Linked DNA regions of Macaca fascicularis. The protein of the gene in region 4 purifies or fractionates together with the protein of the main gene of each other region. This does not show direct contact. Links are inferred from orthologs where the notes say so. Each region holds a gene or a part of one and is shown on either strand. Other genes may lie near its edges.

Evidence for each region.
Region 1: the proteins of ZC3H18 (region 4) and FNBP4 purify together in Homo sapiens (affinity purification with mass spectrometry; 3 studies listed by BioGRID and IntAct, counting the BioPlex papers as one, with this or other methods). This does not show direct contact. The link is inferred for Macaca fascicularis from reciprocal best matches to the Homo sapiens genes ZC3H18 and FNBP4.
Region 2: the proteins of ZC3H18 (region 4) and NCBP2 purify together in Homo sapiens (co-immunoprecipitation; 3 studies listed by BioGRID and IntAct, with this or other methods). This does not show direct contact. The link is inferred for Macaca fascicularis from reciprocal best matches to the Homo sapiens genes ZC3H18 and NCBP2.
Region 3: the proteins of ZC3H18 (region 4) and NCBP1 purify together in Homo sapiens (co-immunoprecipitation; 3 studies listed by BioGRID and IntAct, with this or other methods). This does not show direct contact. The link is inferred for Macaca fascicularis from reciprocal best matches to the Homo sapiens genes ZC3H18 and NCBP1.
Region 5: the proteins of ZC3H18 (region 4) and SRPK2 purify together in Homo sapiens (affinity purification with mass spectrometry; 3 studies listed by BioGRID and IntAct, with this or other methods). This does not show direct contact. The link is inferred for Macaca fascicularis from reciprocal best matches to the Homo sapiens genes ZC3H18 and SRPK2.
Region 6: the proteins of ZC3H18 (region 4) and SRRT purify together in Homo sapiens (co-immunoprecipitation; 4 studies listed by BioGRID and IntAct, counting the BioPlex papers as one, with this or other methods). This does not show direct contact. The link is inferred for Macaca fascicularis from reciprocal best matches to the Homo sapiens genes ZC3H18 and SRRT.
Region 7: the proteins of ZC3H18 (region 4) and PRP4K purify together in Homo sapiens (co-immunoprecipitation; 4 studies listed by BioGRID and IntAct, counting the BioPlex papers as one, with this or other methods). This does not show direct contact. The link is inferred for Macaca fascicularis from reciprocal best matches to the Homo sapiens genes ZC3H18 and PRP4K.

Annotation. Positions count from the first base shown.
Region 1 is NC_088388.1:18,096,636-18,100,135, forward strand, and holds part of FNBP4 (formin-binding protein 4), read left to right. Parts: intron 1-1,936; coding exon 1,937-2,061; intron 2,062-3,500.
Region 2 is NC_088376.1:2,357,048-2,360,999, forward strand, and holds the start of NCBP2 (nuclear cap-binding protein subunit 2), read right to left. Parts: upstream 2,801-3,952; 5' UTR 2,749-2,800; coding exon 2,671-2,748; exon of another isoform or gene 2,615-2,670; intron 2,440-2,614; exon of another isoform or gene 2,369-2,439; intron 2,117-2,368; exon of another isoform or gene 1,963-2,116; intron 1,822-1,962; exon of another isoform or gene 1,646-1,821; intron 477-1,645; exon of another isoform or gene 327-476; intron 1-326. Other genes in the region: protein NCBP2AS2, read left to right, coding at 2,965-3,264. UniProt on the Homo sapiens protein: Component of the cap-binding complex (CBC), which binds co-transcriptionally to the 5' cap of pre-mRNAs and is involved in various processes such as pre-mRNA splicing, translation regulation, nonsense-mediated mRNA decay, RNA-mediated gene silencing (RNAi) by microRNAs (miRNAs) and mRNA export.
Region 3 is NC_088389.1:60,465,070-60,468,569, reverse strand, and holds part of NCBP1 (nuclear cap-binding protein subunit 1), read left to right. Parts: intron 1-125; coding exon 126-229; intron 230-2,430; coding exon 2,431-2,553; intron 2,554-3,500. UniProt on the Homo sapiens protein: Component of the cap-binding complex (CBC), which binds cotranscriptionally to the 5'-cap of pre-mRNAs and is involved in various processes such as pre-mRNA splicing, translation regulation, nonsense-mediated mRNA decay, RNA-mediated gene silencing (RNAi) by microRNAs (miRNAs) and mRNA export.
Region 4 is NC_088394.1:84,533,347-84,536,846, forward strand, and holds part of ZC3H18 (zinc finger CCCH domain-containing protein 18), read left to right. Parts: intron 1-1,484; coding exon 1,485-1,645; intron 1,646-1,766; coding exon 1,767-1,981; intron 1,982-2,621; coding exon 2,622-2,718; intron 2,719-3,500.
Region 5 is NC_088377.1:146,652,102-146,655,601, forward strand, and holds part of SRPK2 (SRSF protein kinase 2), read right to left. Parts: intron 3,365-3,500; coding exon 2,882-3,364; intron 1-2,881. UniProt on the Homo sapiens protein: Serine/arginine-rich protein-specific kinase which specifically phosphorylates its substrates at serine residues located in regions rich in arginine/serine dipeptides, known as RS domains and is involved in the phosphorylation of SR splicing factors and the regulation of splicing.
Region 6 is NC_088377.1:49,475,604-49,479,103, reverse strand, and holds part of SRRT (serrate RNA effector molecule homolog), read right to left. Parts: intron 3,376-3,500; coding exon 3,247-3,375; intron 2,999-3,246; coding exon 2,852-2,998; intron 2,601-2,851; coding exon 2,412-2,600; intron 584-2,411; coding exon 414-583; intron 296-413; coding exon 111-295; intron 1-110. UniProt on the Homo sapiens protein: Acts as a mediator between the cap-binding complex (CBC) and the primary microRNAs (miRNAs) processing machinery during cell proliferation.
Region 7 is NC_088378.1:169,033,147-169,037,207, forward strand, and holds the start of PRP4K (serine/threonine-protein kinase PRP4 homolog), read right to left. Parts: upstream 2,801-4,061; 5' UTR 2,675-2,800; coding exon 2,634-2,674; intron 1-2,633. UniProt on the Homo sapiens protein: Serine/threonine kinase involved in spliceosomal assembly as well as mitosis and signaling regulation. Connects chromatin mediated regulation of transcription and pre-mRNA splicing.

The DNA.
Region 1 (3,500 bases), on a different chromosome or scaffold from region 4:
CCTCAGGTGATCCACCTGCCTTGGCCTCCTAAAGTGCTGGGATTACAGGTGTGAGGCACCGTGCCTGGTCATTTTTGGCTTTTTAAACTGGCAGTCATTTATTTCATTTATTTATTTATTTTTATTTTTTGAGACAGAGTCTTGCTCTGTCACCAGGATGGAGTACAGTGACACGATCTCGGCTCACTGCAACCTCTGCCTCCTGGGCTCATGCCATTCTCCTGCTTCAGCCTCCCAAGTCGCTTGGGCTACAGGCGCCCACCACCATGCCCAGCTAATTTTTTGTGTTTTTGGTAGAGATGGGGTTTCACCGTGTTAACCAGGATGGTCTTGATCTCCTGACCTTGTGATCCGCCCACCTCAGCCTCCCAAAGTGTTGGGATTACAGGCGTGAGCCACCGCGCCTGGCCTATCTGGCAGTCATTTAGACTGTGTGAATTAGTTTGGGTATATAGGTGTTACGAAGCAAAGATAAAAGAGTTCATATTGTGTGCTCTGTTTAAGTTGGTAGACCTCTTCTCTTTTGGAGATTCCCATTACCAATAGACATCAGCACCAACTAAATAGGTGGGTTCAATATAGATGTCTGTAGATCTTCACCAGTTTAGGAAGGAAATTACCAGATGGTTTGAAAATGATGCAGGCCGGGCGTGGTGGCTAATGCCTGTAATGCCACTACTTTGAGAGACCTACCTGGGCCGGTCACTGGTCAGGAGTTCGAGACTAGCCTGATTAACATGGTGAAACCCTATCTCTACTAAAAATACAAAATTAGCCAGGCTTGGTGGTGCATGCTTGTAATCCCAGTTACTTGGGAGGCTGAGTCTGGAGAATCACTTGAACCTGGAGGTAGAGGTTGCAGTGAGCTGAGATCATGCCACTGTACTCCAGCCTGGGCAACAAGAGCAAAACTCCATCTCAAAAAAATACTAAAAATAATGATGCAGCCTGGATACAGTGGTTCACGCCTATAATCCCAGCACATTGGGAGGCTGAGGCAGGCGGATTGCATAAGACCAAGAGTTCGGGACCAGCCTGGGCAACATGGTGAAACCCCGTCTCTACTAAAAATACAAAAACTGGCTGGACATGGTGGCACCTGCCTGTAGTCCCAGCTGCTTGGGAGGCTGAGGTGGGAGGATCCGTTGAGCCTAGGAGGTCAAGTCTGCAGTGAGCTGAGATCATGCCACTGCACTCCAGCCTGGGCGACAGAATGAGACCCTGTCTGTCTCCAAAAGAAATTATAATGCTAATAATGTTGCTCTTTTGAGCACCTTACCCTGCAACTTGTTAAAGAATTCTTACATATCCCAGGTTTGCTGTCTAGCTATTGTAAGTAATTGAAGCAGTGGTATTCTGGAAGAGAAATTAGAAAAGGTGTTAAGGAGAAGGGGAAAGCAGAAACTTCAGGGTAATTTGATAGACTAAAGTAAATTTTACTTACAGATGTATTTTAAGAAAGTTGATTATAAAGGATTTTTATTTTATTTATTTATTTTTTGAGATGGAGTCTTATTCTGTCTCCCAGGCTGGAGTGCAGTGGCACAATCTCGGCTCACTGCAACCTCCGCCTCTCAGGTTCAAGCAATTCTATAGGCGCGTGCCACCACGTCCGGCTAATTTTTTGTATTTTTAGTACAGACAGGGTTCAACTGTGTTAGCCAGGATGGTCTCGATCTCCTGACCTTGTAATCTGCCCACCTCCAAATGCCAAAGTGGTGGGATTACAGGCGTGAGCCACTACGCCCGGCCCTGAATTGTTTTTGGGTTATAAAGACAGTAGGCTGACAAGTTTGAAGAGTTTTAACAAGTAAGTAAAACAGGCAAGAGAGAAAGAACTAATAATCATTTGCAGATATCTGCTATGGGGAAAGATGTATATAGTGCTCTATAAGTATTGGTACTTTGGTTTAATTTTACATGTTTTCTTTTACAGCAATTGGTGCTGAAAATTCAGAAAAAACAGATGAGAATTCAGATAAAGAGGTGGAAGTAGAAGAATCTCCAGAGAAAATAAAAGTACAAACAACACCAAAAGTAGAAGAAGAACAGGATTTGAAAGTATGTATATTACTTGATGCAACTTGACAAATTTTTATCATTATTATTATTATTATCATTATTTTGAGATGAAGTCTAGCTCTGTCACCCAGGCTGGAGTGCAGTGGCATGATCTCGGCTCACTGCAACTTCTGCCTCCTGGGTTCAAGCTATTCTCCTGCCTCAGCCTCCCCAGTGGCTGAGATTACAGGCGTGCACCACCACTCCCAGCTAATTTTTGTATTTTTCGTAGAGACGGGGTTTCACCATGTTGGCCAGGCTGGTCTCGAACTCCTGGCTCCGTGATCCGCCAACGTTGGCCTGCCAAAGTGCTGGGATTACAGGCGTGAGCCACTGCGCCCGACCCGCCAATTTTTTTTTTTTTTCTTTTTTTTTTTTCCCCCCCTAAGGCAGAGTCTTGCTCTGCCACCCAGGCTGGAGTGCAGTGGCCCGATCTTGGCTTACTGCATCCTCTGCCTCCCAGGTTCAAGCAGTTCTTCTGCCTCAGCCTCCTAAGTAGCTGAGATTACACCACCACACCTGGCAAGTTTTTGTATTTTTAGTAGAGACGGCATTTCACCATGTTGGCCAGGCTGGTTTCGAAATCTTGACCTTGTGATCCACCTGCTTTGGCCTCCCAAAGTGCTGGGATTACAGGTGTAAACCACTGCACCCGGCCCAATTTTTTTTTTAAATGCCAGTTATTATTAAACTGCTTTCTGTTAAGTAGTAAAAGTAATAGTAATGTTTCCAAACCTAAATTGTTTACTTGATTAGATGAAAAGATCATATTTAAGCCTGAAATAATTAATTACAAGGCTGACTTGATACTGAGAAATTATCTAACATCCTAACTGCTTAATTGCTTTCTTCAAATTAAGCCTCTGTTTGAGAAGCAGTAGCTTATAGGCTTCTCTAGTTTGGGAGAAAAGTCACAGATTTAATTCCGGTGTGCAATACTGGTCTTTACACAAAGGCAAATTTAGTTTGAATTGCATTTCTAACCTAATCTCATGGGAGAGTTGAACCAAATAAGTATTGGCTATTTAAGGGTGGTCTGTTGGAAAAACCACTTAACATGTTATTTTGACTTGAAAGAGTATCCAATTACTAGTTAGGGAACAACCAAGTAGAAGGGACTGGGATAATTAATTTTGTTTCGGGCTTCAGCAGGTGGCTAATATAAGCAATTAATGGATAAATGGCAATTTGACAATATTGGTATTTATATCATTCAGGATCTATTTTTTCCAGCTTTGTTGAGCTATAATAGACTATACATATATCTTGCATGTACTATGTCATAATTTGTTATATATGTATATTACGATATGATTATCACAAACAAGGTAAATTAACTTACATATCACCTTACCTTGGAGAGTTGTCTTGTGTATGTGGGGATAACACATAAGATCTATACTCTTAACAAATTTCAGGTATTGTTAACTGTAGTCACC
Region 2 (3,952 bases), on a different chromosome or scaffold from region 4:
TCCCTGCACACGCCATCTTCTCAGCAGTGCATCCTTTCAACCAAGGTTAAACTCTGGACCTTGACCCATGTATGACAAAGGGCCCTTTTATACTCTGTAGTGAGAAATAAGTGGATTTCCAGAGAGTCCCCTTTTAATAACCCCATAGAGACTGTTTAAAGCAACAACTCTGATGCTTTACATGCTCATGTATTTTTTCTGAATTGAGGAAAAAAATGTAGTGATCACTAAAAACAAAACAGAGCTCACTTTCCTAATGGGCTTCCAAACTGGGATGACACGATGAAGCCAGAGATAAGAATATAACTGGGCTTCATCCAACACACCTGACAAATCCCTGGATCCAAAATGGCTCATCAGGGTCGCGCACAGCGGCTCACGCCTGTAATCCCAGCACTTTGGGAGGCCGAGGCGAGCGGATCACGAGGTCAGGAGATCGAGACCATCCTGGCTAACACGGTGAAACCCCGTCTCTACTAAAAAACAAAAACAAAAACAAAAATATTAGCCGGGCGTGGTGGCGGGGCCTGTAGTCCCAGCTCGCCAGGAGAATGGCGTGAACCCGGGAGGCGGAGCTTGCAGTGAGCCGAGATCGTGCTACTGCACTCCAGCCTGGGTGACAGAGCCAGACCCCGTCTCAAAAAAAGTGCAAATCATGCCTGGCACTTAAGCATCTAAAACCTGGACTGGCCGGGGTCAGTGGTTCACGTCTGTAATCCCAGCACTTTGGGAAGCCCAGGCTGGTGGATCGCTTGAGTCCCAGAGTTTGAGACCGGCCTGAGCAACTCAGGGAGACCCTGTCTCTACAAAAAATTAGCCGGATGTAGTGTGAGAGCCTGTGGTCCCAGCTTCTCAGGAGGCTGAGGTGGGGAGGATCACTTGGGCTCAGGAGGTTGAGGCTGCATGAGCCGTGATTGCGCCACTGCACTTCAGCCTAGGCAATAGAGCGAGATTCTGTCTCAAAAAATAAAATAAATTGACCGAATTTTTTTTTTTTTTTTAAAGTAGGAATCTCGCTCTGTTGCCCAGGCTGGAGTGCGGTGGCGCGATCTTGGCTCACCGCAACCTCCACCTTCCGGGATCAAGCAATTCTCCTGCCTCAGCCTTCCGAGTAGCTGGGACTACAGGCGCCGCCACCACGCCCGGCTAATTTTTGTATTTTTAGTAGGGATGGGGTTTCACCATCTCGGCCAGTCTGGTCTCGATCTCCTAACCTCGTGATCCACCCGCCTCAGCCTCCCAAAGTGCTGGGATTACAGGCATGAGTCACCGTGCCCGGCCTCGACTGAATAAATTTCAGAGCTTCCCTAATTTGGCGTCAAAGTTTCCTTTTCCCTACTCTAGTAACATATTTCACACGTTCTCCACACTGACCTCTGCTATATGCGCCCCCTCATTTCCCAGTCACAAGGGGATTTCTCCCCTTTTTCTGAATTCTCACAGCCTCTCTTTTAACTCACTTCTACCTTAGATTCTTTGATAATCCACACTACAGGGGATTATGAGCTCGCAGAGTGCAGAAACTGTCTTCCCTTCCCCCCAGGGTTTAGCACAAGGCTTTGGTGACAGCACTCAACAAATGTTTACTAAATAACCGGGTTAATGAGTCCCGCGCCGCCACCCCTCAACCGTATTCCATCCCTACCTTTGCTGATACTGAAAAGCCTACTTTGTATATCTGCGGCCTCCCCTTTTTCCACAAAACATACTGTGATATAGTCCGGACTAAAAATTTCTCTCTTCTGAAATCCAGCAATTCTCCGATCTTCACATCCAAACACCCTCAAAGTGCCCAGCTTGGCGGGTCCCCCTCCCCACTCCGAAGCCTCCCCGAGGGCGGAGTGAGGACTTCACTTGTGTCTCCCACGCACCGCGTACAGCTTCCCTAACACCATCCTCCCAGAGAAGGGCACTGCTTCGCCGATTTAAAAAAGAACGTAGGCCGGGCGCGGTGGCTCACACCTGTAATCCCAGCACTTTGGGAGGCCGAGATGGGCGGATCACGAGGTCAGGAGATGGAGACCATCCTGGCTAACACGGTGAAACCCCGTCTCTACTAAGAAATACAGAAAAACTAGCCGGGCGAGGTGGTGGGCGCCTGTAGTCCCAGCTACTCGGGAGGCTGAGGCCGGAGAATGGCGTAAACCCGGGAGGCGGAGCTTGCAGTGAGCTGAGATCCGGCCACTGCACTCCAGCCTGGGCTACAGAGCGAGACTCCGTCTCAAAAAAAAAAAAATAAAATAAAAAAATAAAAAAAATAAAAAAGAACGTAAAAAGCCCCGAATCTGCATCAAGAAGGCGCCTCTGCACACTCTGGGAGAGAGAAGGGCACCCCGCCCTTGTTACGCAGCCATCTGCGAGGTACAACCTGGAAACGGGAGCCGCCACTACCATCAGCGCTCAGGCCTCTCGGCACCGGCTCGGGTGCAGGGAGCGGCTGGAGGGAACAGGAAAGCGAGCCTCAAATGCCCTGTCTTCCAGAGCCAGCGGCTTCAGTGATGTCCAAGCGCCCCCCCAGCACCCGCTCCCTGCCTCCCCAGCCGGCACCGGGGCCCCACTTGGCGTTTGGGGATTGCAGCAGAACGGGAGGCGACACAATGAGACAAGAGCAAACCGTTTCTCAGCGTTCTGGCCCAGGGCCTTCCCCTCTCGCGGCCCGGCCTCCCTCACCCGGAAGTGCTGGTCCCGGTACTGGCTCAGCTCCACGTAGGAGTCGCTGCGCAGCGCCTTCAGGAGGCCACCCGACATAGCGCAGAGAAGCGGACGAGGACGCGGCGATTCCCGGCACGAGGTGGCGTCTGCCGTGGCGGAAGCGGAAACGCGCGGAAGCGCGCATCTCATTGGACCCAATCCGAGGGCGGCAGTGTCGTCATCAAGCTGCGCGGGCGCAGATGACGTCCGGGTCGGGCGCCGCCGGGCGGAAGACTAGGGCGGCGAGGTCGGATTCCCGGGCGCTTGGGGAAGATGGTGCTTCGGCGGCTGCTGGCGGCCCTGCTGCACAGCCCGCAGCTGGTGGAACGTCTGTCCGAGTCTCGGCCTATCCGACGTGCGGCGCAGCTCACGGCCTTCGCTCTGCTGCAGGCCCAGCTGCGGGGCCAGGACGCGGCCCGCCGCCTGCAGGACCTCGCGGCTGGCCCCGCAGGCTCCCTGTGCCGCCGCGCTGGGCGATTCAGAGACACCTTCACCCAGGAGCTACGCCGCGGCCTCCGTGGCCGTTCGGGGCCACCACCAGGTAGCCAGAGGGGCCCTGGCGCAAACATTTAAGCCTGGGCTGTGCGGGGCCGAGGCCTTTACTTTGCCTTCCGGGCTCTACACTGGCCTCGACGTGGAGGGGTCGTTCCGGGCACTGCGCGCGGCTTCGAACCCCGACTCGGATTGTTGGCCTGCAGACATCCCACGCAGAAGAGCCTAGGCCAGACCGCAGGCTCCGCTGAAGTCCTGTGATTGGACAAGACACCGTGTGGAGAAAGACCCCGAAGCCTAACAGAGATGAAGATAGGCTGGGTCCAGACACCGCACCCGCGGAGAGCCACGGACCGAAGCCAGAGAGCCTTTCCTCTGCAGATGGAACTGACACTCTTGACAGATGCTGCTGAATCTGCACTGGTGTAGCAGGACACTTAATTCCAGGGACGATGTGAATGAAAAGACAACCCTACAACTGCCAAATTCCTTTGATTAAAAAAATGTATGAGCTGGTTAATAGGCATGAGTGTGATACTTCTCAGGCAAGATATATTGAGAATACCAGGGACTGTAGGCCTATGGCAATAATAAACATGTATTTTATGAAATGAGTATTTTGTGCTGGGACTTGCTCATTGCACTCTGCGTGTTATTTCGCTTCCTTACAACCACATCCGCATGAGCAAGCAGATTACTTTTTGGATTTTTTTGTAGAGATGGGGTAGTCTCGAACTCTTGGGTCCGAGTGATCGTCCTGCCTCAGCCT
Region 3 (3,500 bases), on a different chromosome or scaffold from region 4:
CCTTTCACTCTTGGTTGTCAGCTGAGTTCAAGTTGTTGGAGATTGTGACTTTCTAGGTAAGTTGGGTGTTACCAAAGAATGGGACTGATAAAAGATATTTTCTGAGGCTGTTATTTGTATTGTAGGTTGTCTTACCATCAGCGTATATTAGATATTGTTCCTCCTACCTTCTCAGCTCTATGTCCTGCAAACCCAACCTGCATTTACAAGTATGGAGATGAAAGTAGCAGTAAGTAATGAAACAAATCCCTCTGTCTTTAAAAGGTACCAGTTCAAATATATTTAAATTAGTTGTTTAAAGTGGAGAAATTGAACTTTTTCTTTTCTTGGGGTTTATATTTCCTGTATTCGAAGGGTAGTCTAGCATTAGCCACTGTTTTATTTGCCCTGTCATCATTTTGAGGATTTGGTTGTGATAAAATTAATTACTACTGGCTTATCTTTTCTTTCTCTTTTGAATGTGTTAAGTATAGCAAGATGAATTTATAGTTAGATCTTACTAAACTGCAAATGCGTATTTGTCATGGTGATGGAGATTACTTGAATTAATTATCTTTTTCAGGTGTGGTATTGAGAACATAGATGTACATATTCTGTGGCAGTATGCCTTTAAAAGTAAATTCTTAATTATTATTTTCTTACCTTTTGGTCACATAATCTCTGAAATTGCACCATAAATCAGGGAGTGTAATTTGATGTGCCATTTTGCCCTTTGCACAGTATTTACACTTAATGTAGGTAGAGTATTATACATTGTTGATCACTGGTGGAGTTAGGTGTGGAGTTTTTTCCAACTTATCCTTTGCAGATTACACTTAACACAGCCCCTCCATGATCCTTCCATTTCATGTTGTGTAGAGGTTCTTTGCATCTCACAACTATCTGCTGTTCCTTGCTTTTCATACCATATGCCTGTTTCTCCACCTCTGTCTGTGATTGTACCTGTTTCCTTTGAAATAAACTGTGTTGGTCCTGGTACATTTCCTATTTAATTATGTCAACTCTGAAAAATAGATATGATTATCAAAACTACAATGAGGAAATGGCTTCCAAGAGGTCAAACTAGAATGAGATTGCTTCTGAGTGGTGGAGCCCAAATTCAGGCGTAGGTGCACTGCTGAGTGGCCATGCTCTTAGCCACTGTGCTTTTTGGCAGATCAAAGGTTCATGCAGCACTTAGAAGTGCCAGGTTTTGAGTTTTGTCTTGTACTCGTTCCGAGAATGATAAAGTACAGTCTTTGCTGTCAGAAAGCTCAGACTTTTGTTGAAGATTAAGCTTTCTTTTTCCCCATAGGAATAACTCAGCCTAACATTTCAAGGCCTTCATAACCATTGTTCCTACTTTGTTATTTTTCACTTCTCCCGACATGGGCCTCTACTTCTCCCAGGTCCATGTCCTTTTTTATTTTTTCCATACTGTTTGTTCTTGGCTTTGCTATTACCCCAGTCTGGAAAGTCCTTTCTAGCTCCACTTGCTTTTCTCCTTCTAGATTCTAGCCCAAGCTCAATAGCTGTAAATACTTTTTAACCTTTAGTAAGCCAGTTTTGTATTGCTCCCTGGCTGTGTCTAATGTGAATATCTTGGTTCTCCAGCTGGAATGTAGACTGGTGACAGGGGATTCTGTTTTTCTTCGCCTTCTTTCTTTTAGAGAAAAAGCTCACAGCAGGTGTAATATGACCATCCTCACGTGACTGTTGTAATTTACTTCATTCATTCCAGTAACTCGTACTCTATGACAGGATTGCCTTTTTTGTTACCTCTTTGTCTACCTTACATTAAAAGCAGATTTCTTGTTGCTCTGGTGATGCCTTACGGTGTATATTAGCACAAATTTTTATAATAAGGACTTAACTGATACCAATAGTAAATACAAGGAGTCCTATCACATGAGCATCTGACTTACATAGATTCAAACTTGTGGATTCAGCAAAAAAAGAAAAGTACAAAAACAAAAACCTCTCTAAACTTGGCAGCCATTACCTTGTTGAGGCTGAGACTTCGTTTCCATGGTCCCAAGGAAAGAAAGAGGAAATGGGTGTTGGCAAAATGAAAGAGAAGTACGTTGGTTCTGGGCTTTTGAGCCCGGGAGAGTTGAGGGCATTAAAAGACAGTTTAACTGTGTCCACTCTTCTCCTTACCATTCATCTTGAGGATGATCAGCACCTTGTACTCTAAATTTTACTTAGCTAAGTGTCCTTAAGGAATTGTTGAAATGAGAATTGTCCCTTTTTAGGTGAAAAACCATTAACCTATTAGAAAAAGCTTCCACATGTGGTACTTTTATACAGATTAAATATTGACCTTGGGATAAAGAGCATCCTATTTTGAAAGGAAGAATTTAAAAAATTTTTTCTCAGTTATTTAACTATTCGTTAGAATAGTCTTGAAACCTGATCTGTCATTCCCCTTACCCCCAATTCTGTGTTTAGATTCTCTTCCTGGACATTCTGTTGCCCTCTGTTTAGCAGTTGCCTTTAAAAGTAAGGCAACCAATGATGAAATCTTCAGCATTCTGAAAGATGTACCAAATCCCAACCAGGATGATGATGACGGTAAGTGGAATTCAGTATTTCTTGAGTGGAACTATGTATAGGCCAAGTTAAAGCATAAACATAACTCTGGCAACATGATGCGCTTAAAGCAGTATATCTGTATCTGTTTGACCTGTTCAGACTGTTAGTTGTTCTTAGCATCCCAGGTGTTTTCCCCTTATATAAAAAGAGATCCTAACATTTCTGTGATAATACCTTCCTTAAGAATATAAACTTCATCGTAAATACAAAGTGAAATATGTTACCATTCAAGGATTTTTAACCCCTGCTTTCACCATAGCTTCCTGAATAGAAAGACTTGGTGTATTATAAAGTTCGACATTTTCTCCAAGTCAAGCTATTAGAATAATAATGCTTAACATTTACTCAGTTATATACCATGTAATTCCAACCAGAATCCTAGGGGTTTTTCTGGGCAAGAGTGGGAAAATTGACAAAATAATTTATACAGTTGCCTGAATCAATAAATGGATATGTACATAGAAAAACTACTTCATCAAAATAAGATATTAGTGACCTTTGGATATTTATTACTGGGATTTTGTTTGGATATCTCTAAGAAACTTGTGTTATGATATTAGAGAAAATGAGTTTAGAAAGCATAAGCCAAAATGATGGCATTAAATTTAGACATTGTCAGACATCTTAAGATAAAAGCTTAAGTGTTAAGGGTTTGCTGGGTTTTTTTGTTTTTTGGGGGGTTTTTTGGTATTAATATAATAGAGACTATGAATAAGGAAACCTGTGTGATTTTTCTTTTTTCAAGGAATGGATGATAGAATTAAGACAGTCACATAAAACTAAGAATTAAAATTACATGTGGTTTCATATTTGCAGTATTTGAAATCAGTGACGGTCTTTTATTGTTTATTAGAACTAAAAAACATTACACAAATATCTGTGTATAGATGTGAGCGTACCATCTATTTAGCATTTGAGGTAAGGCA
Region 4 (3,500 bases):
GAAAGTATTAAATCAGTCCTTAGATTCCTCACATAGAACTCTTTCATTTCCAGGCAGCAGGTGGTTTATATGTTTGTCAAACTTTTTTTTTTTTTTTTTTTGAGACAGAGTCTCGCTCCGTCACCCAGGCTGGAGTGCAGTGGCCAGATCTCAGCTCACTGCAAGCTCCGCCTCCCGGGTTCACGCCATTCTCCTGCCTCAGCCTCCCGAGTAGCTGGGACTACAGGTGCCCACCACCTCGCCCGGCTAGTTTTTTGTATTTTTTAGTAGAGACGGGGTTTCACCATGTTAGCCAGGATGGTCTCGATCTCCTGATCTCGTGATCCGCCCGTCTTGGCCTCCCAAAGTGCTGGGATTACAGGCTTGAGCCACCGCGCCCGGCCATCAAACTTTTTTTTTCTGTTGTTTGTTTTGTTTCTGGAGAGACATGGTCTTGCTCTGTTGCCCAGGCTGGTCTCAAAACCCCTGGGCTCAAGTGATCCTCCCACCGTGGTCTCCCAAACTCCTGGGATTATAGGCGTGAGCCACCGCACCTGGCCTAAAATGTTTCTTGATAGGTCTGAAATGTTTTAAAAGACCTGACTTTTGAAAAAAAAATGGTTCTCTTACCTTCCCCCGTTCCCTGCTGCGGTACCCAACGTGCCTGGGGGATGTGATTGGTGTTTTCCCGAGTAGCACATGGGCAGGGCGGACTCAGATGCCAGTCCTGTGCTCTGTGTCCGTGTTGAGTGCAAGCCAGTGGAGCTGCAGACCTGCTGTTTCCAGTCTGTCTGCTGCGTGTTCCTCAGGCATTCCCTGAGACTGTGCGGAACAGCTCGTTGTGTTTTAATTTCCCTGTGGGCTGAGGCTGTCACCCTTTTGTTGCGGGTGTCTAAGCCAGGGACTCTGCTTAAATTCCATCCTTGCCACTCTTGGCTCAGCTCAGTCCTGTTTCCCTTCACAACAAGCAACCTGACATTCGTTTCATTTGTGTTTGTTTTGAGACGGAGTTTCGCTCTTGTTGCCCAGGCTAGAGTGCAGTGGCACAGTCTTGGCTCACTGCAACCTCCACCTCCCGGGTTCAAGCAATTATTTTGCCTCAGCCTCTCCAGTAGCTGGGATTACTGGTGCCCGCGACCATGCCCGGCTAATTTCTGCATTTTTAGTAGAGACAGGGTTTCACCATGTTGGCCAGGCTGGTCCCGAACTCCTGACCTCGGGTGATCTGCCCGTCTCAGTCTCCCAGAGTGCTGGGATAACAGGCGCGAGCCACCGCGCCCAGCCGCAACCTGACATTCGTTAGTGAAATGGGGCCCTGGCCCAGCCATAGAGACGTCCGTTACTGTGTAACCCTGGAACTGCCCAGTGTCCCCCCAAAATCACACATTCCATGGGTACATGATCCATAAATGGACACTGGGTAAACGTGGACCATGGAGCACCCCCCGCCGGCCCCTCCCTCCAGTCTGTGGTTGGACTGTGGTGAGATGTTCTCATGTGTCCAGGTCCCTGAGCGTGAGCAGTGTCTCCTCAGTGTCCAGTGCTACGTCGAGCAGCAGCTCTGCACACAGCGTGGACTCGGAAGACATGTACGCAGACCTGGCTAGCCCCGTGTCCTCAGCCAGCTCTCGGTCCCCAGCCCCAGCCCAGACCAGGAAGGAGAAAGGTATTCGGGGGCCCTGGTACCTTTAAGGAGTAGCTCCAGGGCAGGAGGGTGGCATCAGCACAGACTTTGCCTGGCTGTCGGTGTGGCCCCGGGAAAATCACCAGTACCCCCATGACTGCAGATTTATCGTTGGTAGGAAAATCTAAGAAAGAAGACGGTGTTAAAGAGGAAAAGCGGAAAAGGGATTCGTCCACGCAACCACCTAAATCTTCAAAACCTCCAGCAGGGGGGAAGTCCTCCCAGCAGCCCTCGACCCCCCAGCAGGCACCCCCCGGGCAGCCCCAGCAGGGCACGTTTGTGGCCCACAAGGAGATCAAGTTGACACTGTTGAATAAGGTGAGGGCAAGGGCCCTGCTGGTGGCTCCCCCAGCGTCTGGGCCTGGGTCCATTTGCTTCCTGAGACAGCTTCCTCCTGGGGGACAGAACCTGAGTGAGGGCCAGTGGAGCCTTGCAGGTGTCGGCAGAGCCTGGGTGACAGAGCGAGACTCCATCTTCCCGGCCTGGGCCAGGAAGTGTGAGCATCTGGGGAGGTTCGGGTGCTGCCGGCCTCGCTCTGGACAGAGAGCGTGTTCTCTCTGTGCCTGTGGCCGCCATTCCCTGCCAGCCAGTCTCAACATAATACAGGAAGCAAGCCTCAGTCCCTGTCCTCTGCCCTCAGCAGGACACATCGCTGTCCTCTGCTGGAAGGTTAAGAGGCCTGGTTTCAGGAGTCCCAAGTCCTCCTAGAGTGGCCCCCATGGGGAGCAGGAAGGCCTTCAGGGTGCTTCCCATGGAACATGAAGGGGCCCCAAGTGCACAGTGGGGGTGCCCTTGGTCCGGGTCATGGAGGCCTCACTTGGGGCTACAGGGTCTGATGGGCATGTGGTGGGACCTTTGGGAGCAGAGCAGTTTGCTGGCAAGGAAATGTTGTCTGGGGTGAGGACACAGCTGCTGTCTCCTGGCCCTGCCATCCTCACCAGCCTCTCGGTTGTCCCAGGCGGCTGATAAAGGAAGCAGGAAGCGCTATGAACCATCAGACAAGGACAGGCAGAGCCCTCCTCCAGCCAAGCGGGCCAACACATCCCCAGACCGAGGTGAGCCTCCCAGCCCCTAGGGGGCAGGGCAGGGGGCGGGAGCCTGGGGATGCGGAGCAGCTGGACTCAGACCCCATCGCTCTTAACAAGCAGGAGGGCCCAGAAAACATCTGACTTGCAGATTATGCCTGTCAGTATTACGATATTGAAAACTAAAACTAAGAAAAATTTTTAAATGTTTGTTTAAAAGTAACAGGACCAGGCGCGGTGGCTCACGCCTGTAATCCCAGCACTTTGGGAGGCTGAGGCGGGCAGATCACTTGAGGTCAGGAGTTCGAGACCAGCCTGGCCAACCTGGTAAAACCCTGTCTCTACTAAAAATACAAAAATTAGGCCGGGCGCAGTGGCTCACGCCTGTAATCCCAGCACTTTGGGAGGCCGGGGCAGGTAGATCACAAGGTCAGGAGATTGAGACCGTCCTGGCTAACACGGTGAAACCCCGTCTCTACTAAAAAATACAAAAAACTAGCCAGGCGAGGTGGCGGGTGCCTATAGTCCCAGCTACTCGGCAGGCTGAGGCAGGAGAATGGTGTGAACCCGGGAGGCGGAGCTTGCAGTGAGCCGAAACAGCGCCACTGCACTCCAGCCTGAGTGACAGACTCTGTCATCCCAAAAAAAAAAAAAAATTAGCCGGGCATGGTGGCGGGCACCTGTAATCCCAGCTATTCAGGAGGCTGAGGCAGGAGAATCACTTGAACCGGGAGGCGGAGGTTGCAGTGAGCTAATACTACACTACTGCACTCCAGTCTGGCCACAGAGCAAGACTCTGTCTCAAAAATAAA
Region 5 (3,500 bases), on a different chromosome or scaffold from region 4:
GGATGTACACTCTCCACTGTGGAGACCACTGCTGTAGATGATGGGGACCTGTGGAAACTGTGAGCAGGGGAATACACTGATCGGGTAAGCATACTGCAAAGACACTCTAGCAGCACCATGGAAGGGCATGCTGAAAGGCAGGTGGGGAGAAAAGCTGGAGAGAACACAAAGCCAAGAGACCAGTAAGGAGCCTCCGTAACAGCAGAGGCAAGCAATGACAGTGCCCACTGTAGGGCCAAGGCAAGCAGGACCCCTACTTATGAGGTATGACTAGCAAAACGAGATGATTTACTGGATGTGAGAGAAAAAAGGGGGACATACTGATGATCAAGTTTCTCACTGACGCAACAAGAAATGGTGGTAACAAGCGCAGGAAATACAGCATGTGTAGCAGGTTGGCAGGGTGAGTTGTATTCTGGTTTTTAACATGTAAGGTTTGAAGTTTCCTGTGACAGAGATGGAGCTGTCATGTAAACAACAGGGTAAGTTTTATGACTTGCCTGGGCCTCGATGGTGACCACGTGGTAACAAGCAGCAATTGTGCTCCTTTACATGGATTGTGATGACCAAGGCAACTTACATTCAATGGGAAATTTTTCAATATATTATTGTATGTTATTTATCTACCTTTGCCATTGACCTGTTGTATTTAACTCAGTGCTACTAACAACCCTAGAGGTAGCCATTTCTTTCCTTTGATAGAGGAATAAGCCAAGGCTCAGACAGGATAAGAAACCAAAGTTCCACAGTTATTAAGTTCTGAGCTGGGGATTAATCTGATGATACGTGGGTGCCTCTCGGTGTCTGCGGGGAACTGGTTCCAGGACATCCTGAGGACACCGAAATCCACAGATGCTCAAGTCGCTGATATAAAATGGTATAGTGCTTGCATGCAACCTACATACATCTTCCTATATACTTTAGTTGATCTCTAGTTATTTATAATACCTGCTACAATGTAAATGGTATGTAAATAGTTGTTATACTGTATTGTTTAGGGAATAATGACAAGGGGGAAAAGTCTGTACATGTTCAATAAAGACACAGGTTTTTTTTTTTCCCCTCCAACTGTTTTCCATCTGAGGCTGGCTGAGCACATGGATGTGAAATCCACAGATGTAAAACCCATGGATACGGAGGGTTGGCTGTAACTGAAGCCACTGCAGCCTAAGCTAATACTTGCAAACTAAGTACAAATAAAAAAGGTACTTTGGTCTGGTCATGGTGGCTCACACCTGTAATCCCAGCACTTTGGGAGGCTGGGGAGGGCGGATCACCTGAGGTCAGGCATTGGAGACCAGCCTAGCCAACATGGTGAAGCTCCGTCTCTACTAAAAATATAAAAATTAGCCAGGCATGGTGACAGGCGCCTGTAATCCCAGCTATTCGGGAGACTGAGGCAGGAGAATTGCTTGAGTCCAGGAGGCAAAGGTTGCAGTGAGCTGAGATTGCACCACTGCACTCCAGCCTGGGCAACTAGACTGAGACTGTCTCAAAATAAATAAATAAATAAATAAATAAATAAATAAATAAAATAGAAATAATTAAAAAGATACTTTGTAAATTACTTTCTATATGAAACTTCGGCCGGGCGCGGTGGCTCACGAGGTCAGGAGTTTGAGATCAGCCTGACCAACATGGTGAAAACCCGTCTCTGCTGAAAATACAATAATTAGCCAGGCGTGGTGGCACATGCTTGTAATCCCAGCTACTCAGGAGGCTGGGGCGGCAGAATCGCTTGAATCCGGGAGGCAGAGGTTGCAGTGAGCTGAGATCACGCCACTGCACTCAAACCTGGGCAACAGAGCAAGACTCAATCTCAAAAAGAAAAAAGAAACCTCAAGAGAAAAATTGAACTGCAACAGCAACAATAAATCTGGATAAGGTACATCTCGCTACTGCCCTTTCCCAGACATGAACCTACATTCTATGTAAGCACCTTCAAACACTCCCTATACAGGGGAACAGGAGCTGACCACGTCCAGCCAAGTAAAGAAAGCAAATCCTTAGGAGGATTCATCATAGCCAGCGTGTAACAAAGCCAGCTCACTTAGCGTGCAATTCCAGACTCTGGAACCAAAGGGGCTGTATAATGTCTTGGGTGGTTTGCACGGCTGGCTCATCAATTACTCACTGTGTGTTAAACAGTCTTGTCAGCAGAGGGAGCAGAGGAGGTTTCAGAGCTTTTCCACCATGAGTCAGAATGGAAACCAACTGTGTTACCCAGTTTCACTTACTAGAGTCACTCAGCATTGACTCCCAAAATAAAGGTTTGAATAAGTCAAGCCTTCTTAGGTAGACAAGAACACAAGAGCCAACCTATAATCTGTCATCACATCTAAATCCATGCCAATTCCTTGAAAATTACAATCCTGGGCCCGTTATCAATAGTAGGGTCCTATAATCAGGAACAAATATCAAAAGACAATATGACACTTCTTTCTCAATAGAGTCAAAGAGGAGGTATACTTTTCTTGAATAGAAACAAAACAAAACAAAAAAAACTATAATAATATCAGATAGAAGAAGATACAAATGATAAACTAAACTACACATTCTAGAAAGATGTAGTTTTACATCTTTTTACAAAAACCTTTTTACAAAAACCTTCCAGTTTTTGCAAATGATGCTGCTGACTATAAATATATTAAAAATGAGAACTGATCAGAAATAAGATTTGGTATGCAGAGAGCAAGAGATAGTCTAGTGGCATAGAACATGTATTTAAATCACATTACTTCTTCATGAGTATAAAAGTAATAAAAATGATTAGCACACACAAACAGGGCTTGGCCACTTCCAGCCAGTTCCTTCATAGCATTTGTTAACGGCACGTCCCTGGAGTCAGTAATGGCAGACAGTTGATGGGAAGAACACTTACCTTTTGGCAAATCCCCAGTACTGGAGGCTGAAACCGTCCTGCTTCTGTCATGGGATGGACTGCTCTCCTCTTGCTCAGTAAGTGGTGATCCCTCAGAAAGCACAGAGCCGCAGGCCACAGGTTCTAAGGATCCAGAGAACAACGAGGTGGAAAACTCTGGGAACTGTGACTCGGGAATTTTATGTCGTCCATTTGGCAATTCACCATTGAATTGTTCATAGGAGCTGCTATATGTGTAATCACTTTCTGCATTTGGCTCATCAAGATTATATTCCTCAGGATTTGGGCAGTCTTCTTCGTCATCCTCTTCATCGTCCAGTTGCTGCTCCAGTGAGAATGGGCCATTCTCAATATGGCCATTGGTTTTAGGTGATTCTATCCACGTAGGGTCTATGTTCGCAAGTTCCTGATCTACATCATCTTCATCTTTTTCAATGTTTTCTTTCTCAGCATCTTCTTTCTCTTCCTGGTCCTCAGCTTCACCTTAAGAAGTTGATGGGTCAAGAATAAGAACTTGTTACTGTCCTTAATACGGCCTCACTAAGTACTTATCTCCATCAATAAAACACGTTTTGAATGTGTTTAACTTATGTACCACCTAGTAAACACCTCTTTGCTT
Region 6 (3,500 bases), on a different chromosome or scaffold from region 4:
CCCTGACAGCTGAGGCCACAGGTTCATTTTCTCCACCCCTCCCAGAACACAGCCCCGCACTTGTAGCTCCTTTGGATCCCGAGGCAGCACTAGAGGCCCGGCGCTCGGACCTGCTTGCCGTCTTCCTTCTTCTCGTCCTTGTCGTTTGTTTTACGCTCCCCGTCCCCAAGGCCTGCTCCAGCCCGTCCTTCCTCTTTCTTGCCAGGCTCCCCAGGCTTTCCTGCCTGTTCCTCCTCCTCCTCCTGCTCCAGGATGCGGAGATCATTCTCTGTGCCTCCTTCCATCTTAATCACAGCTACCAACAAAGGGAACAGAGTTCACAACCCGAGGGCCCTGGCTCCTGTCAACCCGTATCTGCCTGGTCCCCAAATACACCCACCCCAAATGCCTGCCAGCCCTCCAAATCCACACACCTGCATCCAGCATCTTGACGATGGCATCAGCTTTGTCTATGTCCAGGAGAAGATTATCAAACCAGCCAGTCTCCATGAGGGACAGGAAGACCCTCAGACGGTTTTGCAGGCCCCCCCGGGCCTCCTGCCGACGCTTCCCCACCTCATCTGGGTGGTACTTAGACCGAAACCTGGGAACGAAGCGGGGGAGGGAAAGACAAAACAATTACTGGAAGCCAAAGCCAGGATGTGGGAAGGGGCCCAGGAAAGACAGGGCATAGCCCCCATCCTCTCACACCCACAAAAGGTCATCAAAACAGAGAGATTAGGGGATAGGGTTGCACTAGAACCACCCAACACCCCAAAGGGAACCAGAAGTTGTGCTCTGAGAAGATCTGGGGGAAAACCAGGAACTAAGAGCTCTGGATTTGGGAAGACCAATGACTACAGGGGGACGCCAGGGTTGGAGAGGCAGATTTACCACTTTAAGTCTCCGGGAAACACTAACTAGTCAAAAGGTGTCATTTCCCAAAGCTTCAGAGAGGAAGGCTCAGGAAATAGCAGGCCCTGAAGAACCTCCCTCTCCTCACCAACCCCAAACTGCAGTCATTCAAAAACTGCTCCCGCCAACTCCCTCCACCCCAAGGTGGAAGACAGAGGGGGCCAGATAGCAAAAGCCCAGAGGCAGGGCACCTTTCTCCACCCGTGGGAAGATAAGCAAGACGGTGAAGGGACAGGAAAGACCGAAGGGAGAGACTGGAGTGCCCTTTAGAGCCTCAGGTCCTGCCCACAGGGGAGAGACAGGAGAGGGCTGGAAGGTTAGGGAGGAAAAGAAAAATAAAACATTTCAAATAGGACCTCAGGGGGAAAACAGAAGAAATGAGGAGTATGAGGAAAAGGGGAAAGGGAGGAAAGGGGAAAGTGTGAGAAAGTCCCAGAAACCAAAACAAAGGGAAAAACTAAAGAGAGAGAAACTGAAAAAACCAACAGGGCGGAAGGCAGTGTTAGGCAGGGAGCAAGAACAGGGACAGAGAAGAATGAAAGTGCGTGAGAGATTAGGACAAAGACACAGAGCAATTTGAGAGGGGACAGCGAAGACAGAACAGAACCACGAGTGGGGCGGAGGAGGAAAGGAAAGCCGCAGGCATCACCTCCAGGATCTTTACCTTGGCCGCTTGGTCAAACAGAGCTCAAGATTTAACTAGCGGCGCCCAGGGCCCATGCTGGCTGGTGGGCCACCGGCTGGCTCCTGGCTGGGCGCCCGGCCGAGATGCCCTGCCCCGCGGGACTCCGCAGTGGGGCCTGACTGGCTAGCTGCCTGAGCAATCACATTCAGCTAAACCGCTGCATTGTGCACAGCAGTGCCCTGCCTGTCTGCCTGGCCGGGCCGCGCAGCTCAGCCCAGGGGCTCATGTATGGGCTGGGTATGGTGGGGGTGGAGGTGGGTTTGCTCCGAGCTCCGTCGATGAGCGGGTGTAGTTCCCAGTTCTGGCTCTTTTCAAGGAGGAGGAGCAGAAAGAGGATGAGGAGGAGGAGGAGCAGGAAGGGGGGAAAAGATGGTTGATTAAAATTAAAACATCCACAAAAGGAAAAAAAAATTAAAATTCTTTTTCTGTCAAATGACCCTGAGATCTTTGCTTTTCCTGTCTGGATTCACTCGTCGCTTTAGGAGGATGCCACAGTCACACGGGGTCCTGGTGATCAGGGATGACAATGACCCAACACCAGCAAATGGGAAGCGGCCTGTTTGCTGCCCCAAGGGGCCAGGTGGCTCTGGCCTGCTGCCTGGAGGTGTCCCACTCTCTGAGGACAGCAGGACAGGAGATAGGGCAGGGCGGGGGCCGTGGCAGTCGCTGAAGTGAGGGGGAGACCCCATCAGCCAATGCTGTCATACTTCCCGACCCCCACCCCCAGAAAGTTCCGGACAGGGGAAACTGGGAAGAGGACAGGGCCGCGGCTCCACCAGCGGGGCCAGGGGGACATGCCAGGGCAGAGATCCAGGGAAGCAGGGGCACTCACCACTCCTCATCTTTGTGCGCCAGGAAGAAATCCTGCATCTGCTGCCTCCGGAAATCCAGCTTATAGTCATTATAGCGCTTGACGGCCTCCGTCTCATCCACCGAGTCATCCAGGGAGAGGAGAAACTCCTTGAAGGTCTTCATCACAGGCGGCGGCACACCCAGGTCGATCTCTGCGATGCTGCCCAGCCTGGAGGGGACCCCAGTCAGAAAGGCTTGGTTGTTGGGGAAGGGTTGGAGGCTACAGGGGCCAAAGTAGCCAGGTGCCCCCCTTCTTTGCCCACCATGGACATCACCCCAAACCCCAACAGCTACTACCCCCATCCCAGGGACATGTCTCTGTGGGCCTGACCCACTCCCTGGCTTCAACCATGGCCTTCAGCAACCCCATCCATCCCCCAGGCCTACCAACCCCCTTCTCCCGAAAAGCCCGGCCCTTACCTGGCCTGGATAGGCAGGACATGGTGCTGCATGATGTGGACGTCGGGGTGGCCCCAGGGCTGAGGGGGGCCATAAGTTGGGCCCCCACCCCCCCCAGCATAGGGCATCTCATAGCCACTGTGGTATGGGTCAGAGCTGTGCTCATCCCTGAGGGTGGGGGACACAAAAGTAAGGCAGAGAAGGGAGTCACCTCCCCAGAGCATGAAGGAGGACAGACAGACAGGGGTACACACAGCATGGTCTCCCACACAAGGGTTTCAAGGGACAAAGAAACAATGGGTGATGGGAAGTTGAGAAAAGGAAATGACAAAGATTTAGGCACAGGTGAGGGGAGAAAGGGGAGGCCCAAGTGGAACTGAGGCGAAGGGGAGAAGAGGGAAACCGCTCCATCTCACCAGTCTCGCCTCATGCGCTTCTGTGGCGGGCTGAGTTCATGGCGAGGTGGCGAGAAGCGCTCTCGCCGATTCCGGTCATAGTCCCGATATTCACCCCGACTACGGCGCTCACGGCCACGGTCCCACTCTCTGGAGGTAAGAACAAGTAACAAAGATTAAAGGTCAGGCATGGTGGCTCATGCCTGTAATCCAAGCACTTTGAGAGGCCGAGGCAGAAGATCACTTGAGGCCAGTTCAAGACCAACCTGGGCAAT
Region 7 (4,061 bases), on a different chromosome or scaffold from region 4:
AGGCGGGTGGATCACGCAGTCAGGAGATTGAGACCATCCTGGCCAACAAGGTGAAACCCTGTCTCTGCTAAAAATACAAAAATTAGCAGGGCGTGTTGGTACATGCCTGTAATCCCAGCTACTCGGGAGGCTGCGGCAGGAGAATTGCTTGAACCAGAGTCCAAGGTTTCAGTGAGCCAATATCATACCATTGCAATCTAGCCTGGAGACAAAGTGAGACTCTGTCTCAAAAAAAAAAAAAAAAAAAATTAGTTGAGCGTGGTGTTGCATACCTGTGGTCCCAGCTACTCCGGAGGCTGGGGTAGGAGGATCACTTGAGGTTGAGGCTACAGTGAGCCATGATAGTGTCACTGTACTCCAGCCTGGGTGACAAGAGCTCATGTTTCAAAAATAAATAAAATGAATAAAAAGAATTAATGTAGATATAAAAATCAGAATGGGTCCAAAAGACTAACTAGTCTTAAAACCTTCCCTCTGGTCCCTGCTTTGCCAAATCAGGTTTGAGAAATTAGGTCTCAATAAATTAGACACATCACATCAAAAAATGGATCTTTCTGGGACAGTGGAAAAAATAAAAATAATTTCATACTTGAAAAGCAATTTAAAAAGAAGCCACATTGTACAGTGGGAGGCCAGACAGTTCAATAGTTAGCAGCAGGGCTTTAGAACCAGACTGCCTGAGTTTAAATGGGTGTGCCACTTAGGGTGACCTTGAGCAAGTTACTCAATTTCTCTGTGTTTCAGTTTCATCATCTTTAAAACAGGAAAATAAAAGCATCTACCTCTATAGGGTTGTTAAAAGAATTAAAGCCTTCAGGAAGCTTAAAAGCTACTTTTTATATTTATTCTTTCTAAATTTTCTATTTTGAATAGATTCCATATAACTGTAAACTATTCAAGTGTTCTCTAAAGAACTGCTGTAGACACTATATTCAAGGACTCACTGTGAGCACCAGGCACAGTGTTTGCTTTCATACCAAATGGTTATCGTCTTTGTTAAATACTTTCAAACTACTGAAAGTGAGACATATACAGACCAAATATTCCATTTACACCAAGTGTTCTGTGGGGAAGGGAAGGGAAATTAAAGACTATCTCTGTTATTCATACAGTAGAGGCCTGAATATGTATTTTTTAAATTATTAAGTCTAATATTATTTGAAAACAGTATGCGAATAAAATGACTAACCCACTCCTCGAAATGAATCTCAAACATCCCTAAAATCAAATAAATGGACATAATACTACAGAAATTTTCAGATTAGTAGAAAATGTAACCACATAGCATGAGATCTGCACTGTATTGGCATAAACACTGTAACTGTGCCACACAATGAACTCGGTGAGAAACAGTAAGAGGTTAAAGCTAGTTTAAAACTTCAGAATCCATTTGTTCTCTGCTAAGGCAAATTATAAAGATAATACAGCAGTTTTGAAAAGCCCTTAGTTAAAAATTCCGTTTTTCCGCCTAGCTGAGTAATGCAGATGATTGAAGAGCCCAAAACTGGACGTACAGCAATTAAGTGTCAGGTTGTCTGGTGGCAAAGATTTCTCCTATCGCTCAGTCACAACTTGCTGGGAGACTATACCTCTTTCTAAAATGGCTGGAAACAGATGAGACAGTGCAGATGCAAAAAAAACGGTCGCTATAGGAACATTGCCGTAAAATCCATTCTCTCTATTATGGTTCTTGTTTGAGTTTTCCTAACATAGACATGAAGAGCAAAATACTGCTTTTAGTTAACCAATGGTTAACCTTGCAGCATACACACGTATGTTTTTTTTTTTTCATTTTTCATTTGGCCGCATGGATTCTTATATTAGCTTAATTATAGATATAAAGTGGTTTGGCAGTAGCTAGCAATTCCAACTACTCCTTCCACTCGTCCTCGTCCTCCTAAAGGGTTATAAACTCAAGCAAAAAAAAACAAAAAAAAAAAATGCCAGGCCTCAAAACCAAAGACTCTATCTCACTTTGCCTCAAGTTTGCAAGTTGGTAAAAAAAAAAAAGCTGGCGGCAGGCACTCAAAAAAACAAAACAAAACAAAACAATACTGGGTGACTGCTGGACTAAAGAATACAAGGTGACGAGATCAAGTATCCTGCTAGCCACAGACTAGCTCTGGGATGGCCAGAGAGTGTGACCCCACCACCTCCGCGCTCTGCTTTCAGGTCCTAAACTGACACCAGTAAAAGGACGACTGGGGGTACCGCAAGAGGAAGAAAAGACTTGGGCTTGCCCCGCCTGCTGCCACTGACCCTCGTGTCCCCAACACCGATGCCGCTAAGAGCCGCGGCCAGGGAGCTTAGATGGGTCCCCAAGGGAGGAATGGGAAAGCGCGACCTCACTGCCGCCACGCGCACCGGACCTGTAGAGGCCGCTCGCGCCTACGCCTCCCGGGGCAACGACGCGCTGCAGGCCGCGGCCGCCTTCACCCCAGCAGCCGCGGCCTCTGAGAGAAGGAAGCTCGAAGGCCGCCTGCTCCCCATGCCTCCCACCCCACAACGAATCGCGCCGGAGAAGGCAAAGTTTGACTCTCGCCGTTAGGCCCGAACTTTCCCGCCCGCCCGTGCAGCTCCCACTCGGCAGTCCCCGGGCTCCAGCCTCTGGCCCACTCACAGAGACTACTTACTCTGTCTGCTCCCGCAGCGACTGGGTCTCCGCGGCGGCCATCTTGAACTTCCTGACTCCTCGGCGGCGGTGGCGGCGACTCCCGGACGGTGGAAGGTAGTGGAAGTGGAAGAAGAAGGAAAAGAGCTGCCGCGCATGTGCTGACCGCGTAGGGAAGAGCGGGGTTCTGAGTCCGCGCTAAGAATCCGGATATGAAACCTTGCGTCCCGGGACTGGCGCAGGGCGTAGTGTCGCAACTTCCGGGAGCATGGTGGGCGGTGCTGCTGAGGATTGAGGGCTGTGTCAAGCTTGAGCTCTTTCGTCAGTGCTAGAAATGGACGTTTAGTTATCGAAGCCTGCTGACGAGGGGAGCCAACAAGAGAGGGATGTCGGCATCGGGTATGCGGTTCCAAGAACTGATTGGCTATGGAGACTGGAAGTTGGGTGAAAATTCTCATAAACTCGGGCAAACGAATTGATGATTTTTCCCTGGTCGGTGTTAAGAGACACAGTAAATGCTTAACCATCTCGCTAGATAGCTCAGCTGAAGTGGCATTAGCTTCCCCGGAAAGGGTGTAGAAAGGCGTTTTTAAATACTGTAAATTAGGGTTGTACCTCGACGTAAATATCTTTTAATGTGGAACTGTTACTGTATTTGACACATCTTTTCAACTTTTACATAGTTCAAGGGTGACATGATTCAGGAGTCGTTCAGTTCGTTGTTTCCGTAATTGGAACGTGTAATGTTTTTTGGCCCAAGTTGCTTTATGTGATTTTGTTTTTTTCTATAACGACGCTGCAGTAATGGGGTAGAATGGAATATTGTAGGGAAAACATTTACTGGCTCTTGGAGAGCTCTCAATACCAATTAGGTTCTTTAATTCCTCTTTAAAAAAAATTTCTCGGCCTGGCGCTGTGGCTCACGCCTGTAATCCCAGCACCTTCGGAGGCCGAGGTGGGCGGATCACCTGAGGCCAGGAGTTCGATACTAGCCTGGCCAACATGGTGAAACCCTGTCTCTGTTAAAAATACAAACAATTTAGCCGGGCGTGGTGGCGCGCGCCTATAATCAATTCCAGCTACTCGGGAGGCTGAGGCAGTTGAGAATCGCTTGAACCCGAGAGGCGGAGGTTGCACTGAGATCACGCCACTGCGCTCCAGCCTGGGCAACAGGGCAAGATTCCATTAAAAAATATATATATATATCCATACTTTGGAACCTAGAAGCAGCGTGACGATCACTTTCATTCTTGTAATCATCTTAGTTTGCCTTTGTCCTAGAAAATTGAGTTCGGAATCTCCAGGCTCCATACATATCTCTTGATTTCCAGGGGAGAAGGGTTTCAAATGTTCTTACAAAATGTCTCTTGCTGCCTGAATTCCCAACGTTTTGAAATGTTAGGGCCAGGCGCGGTGGCTCAGGCCTGCAATCCTCTAGCACTTTGGGAGG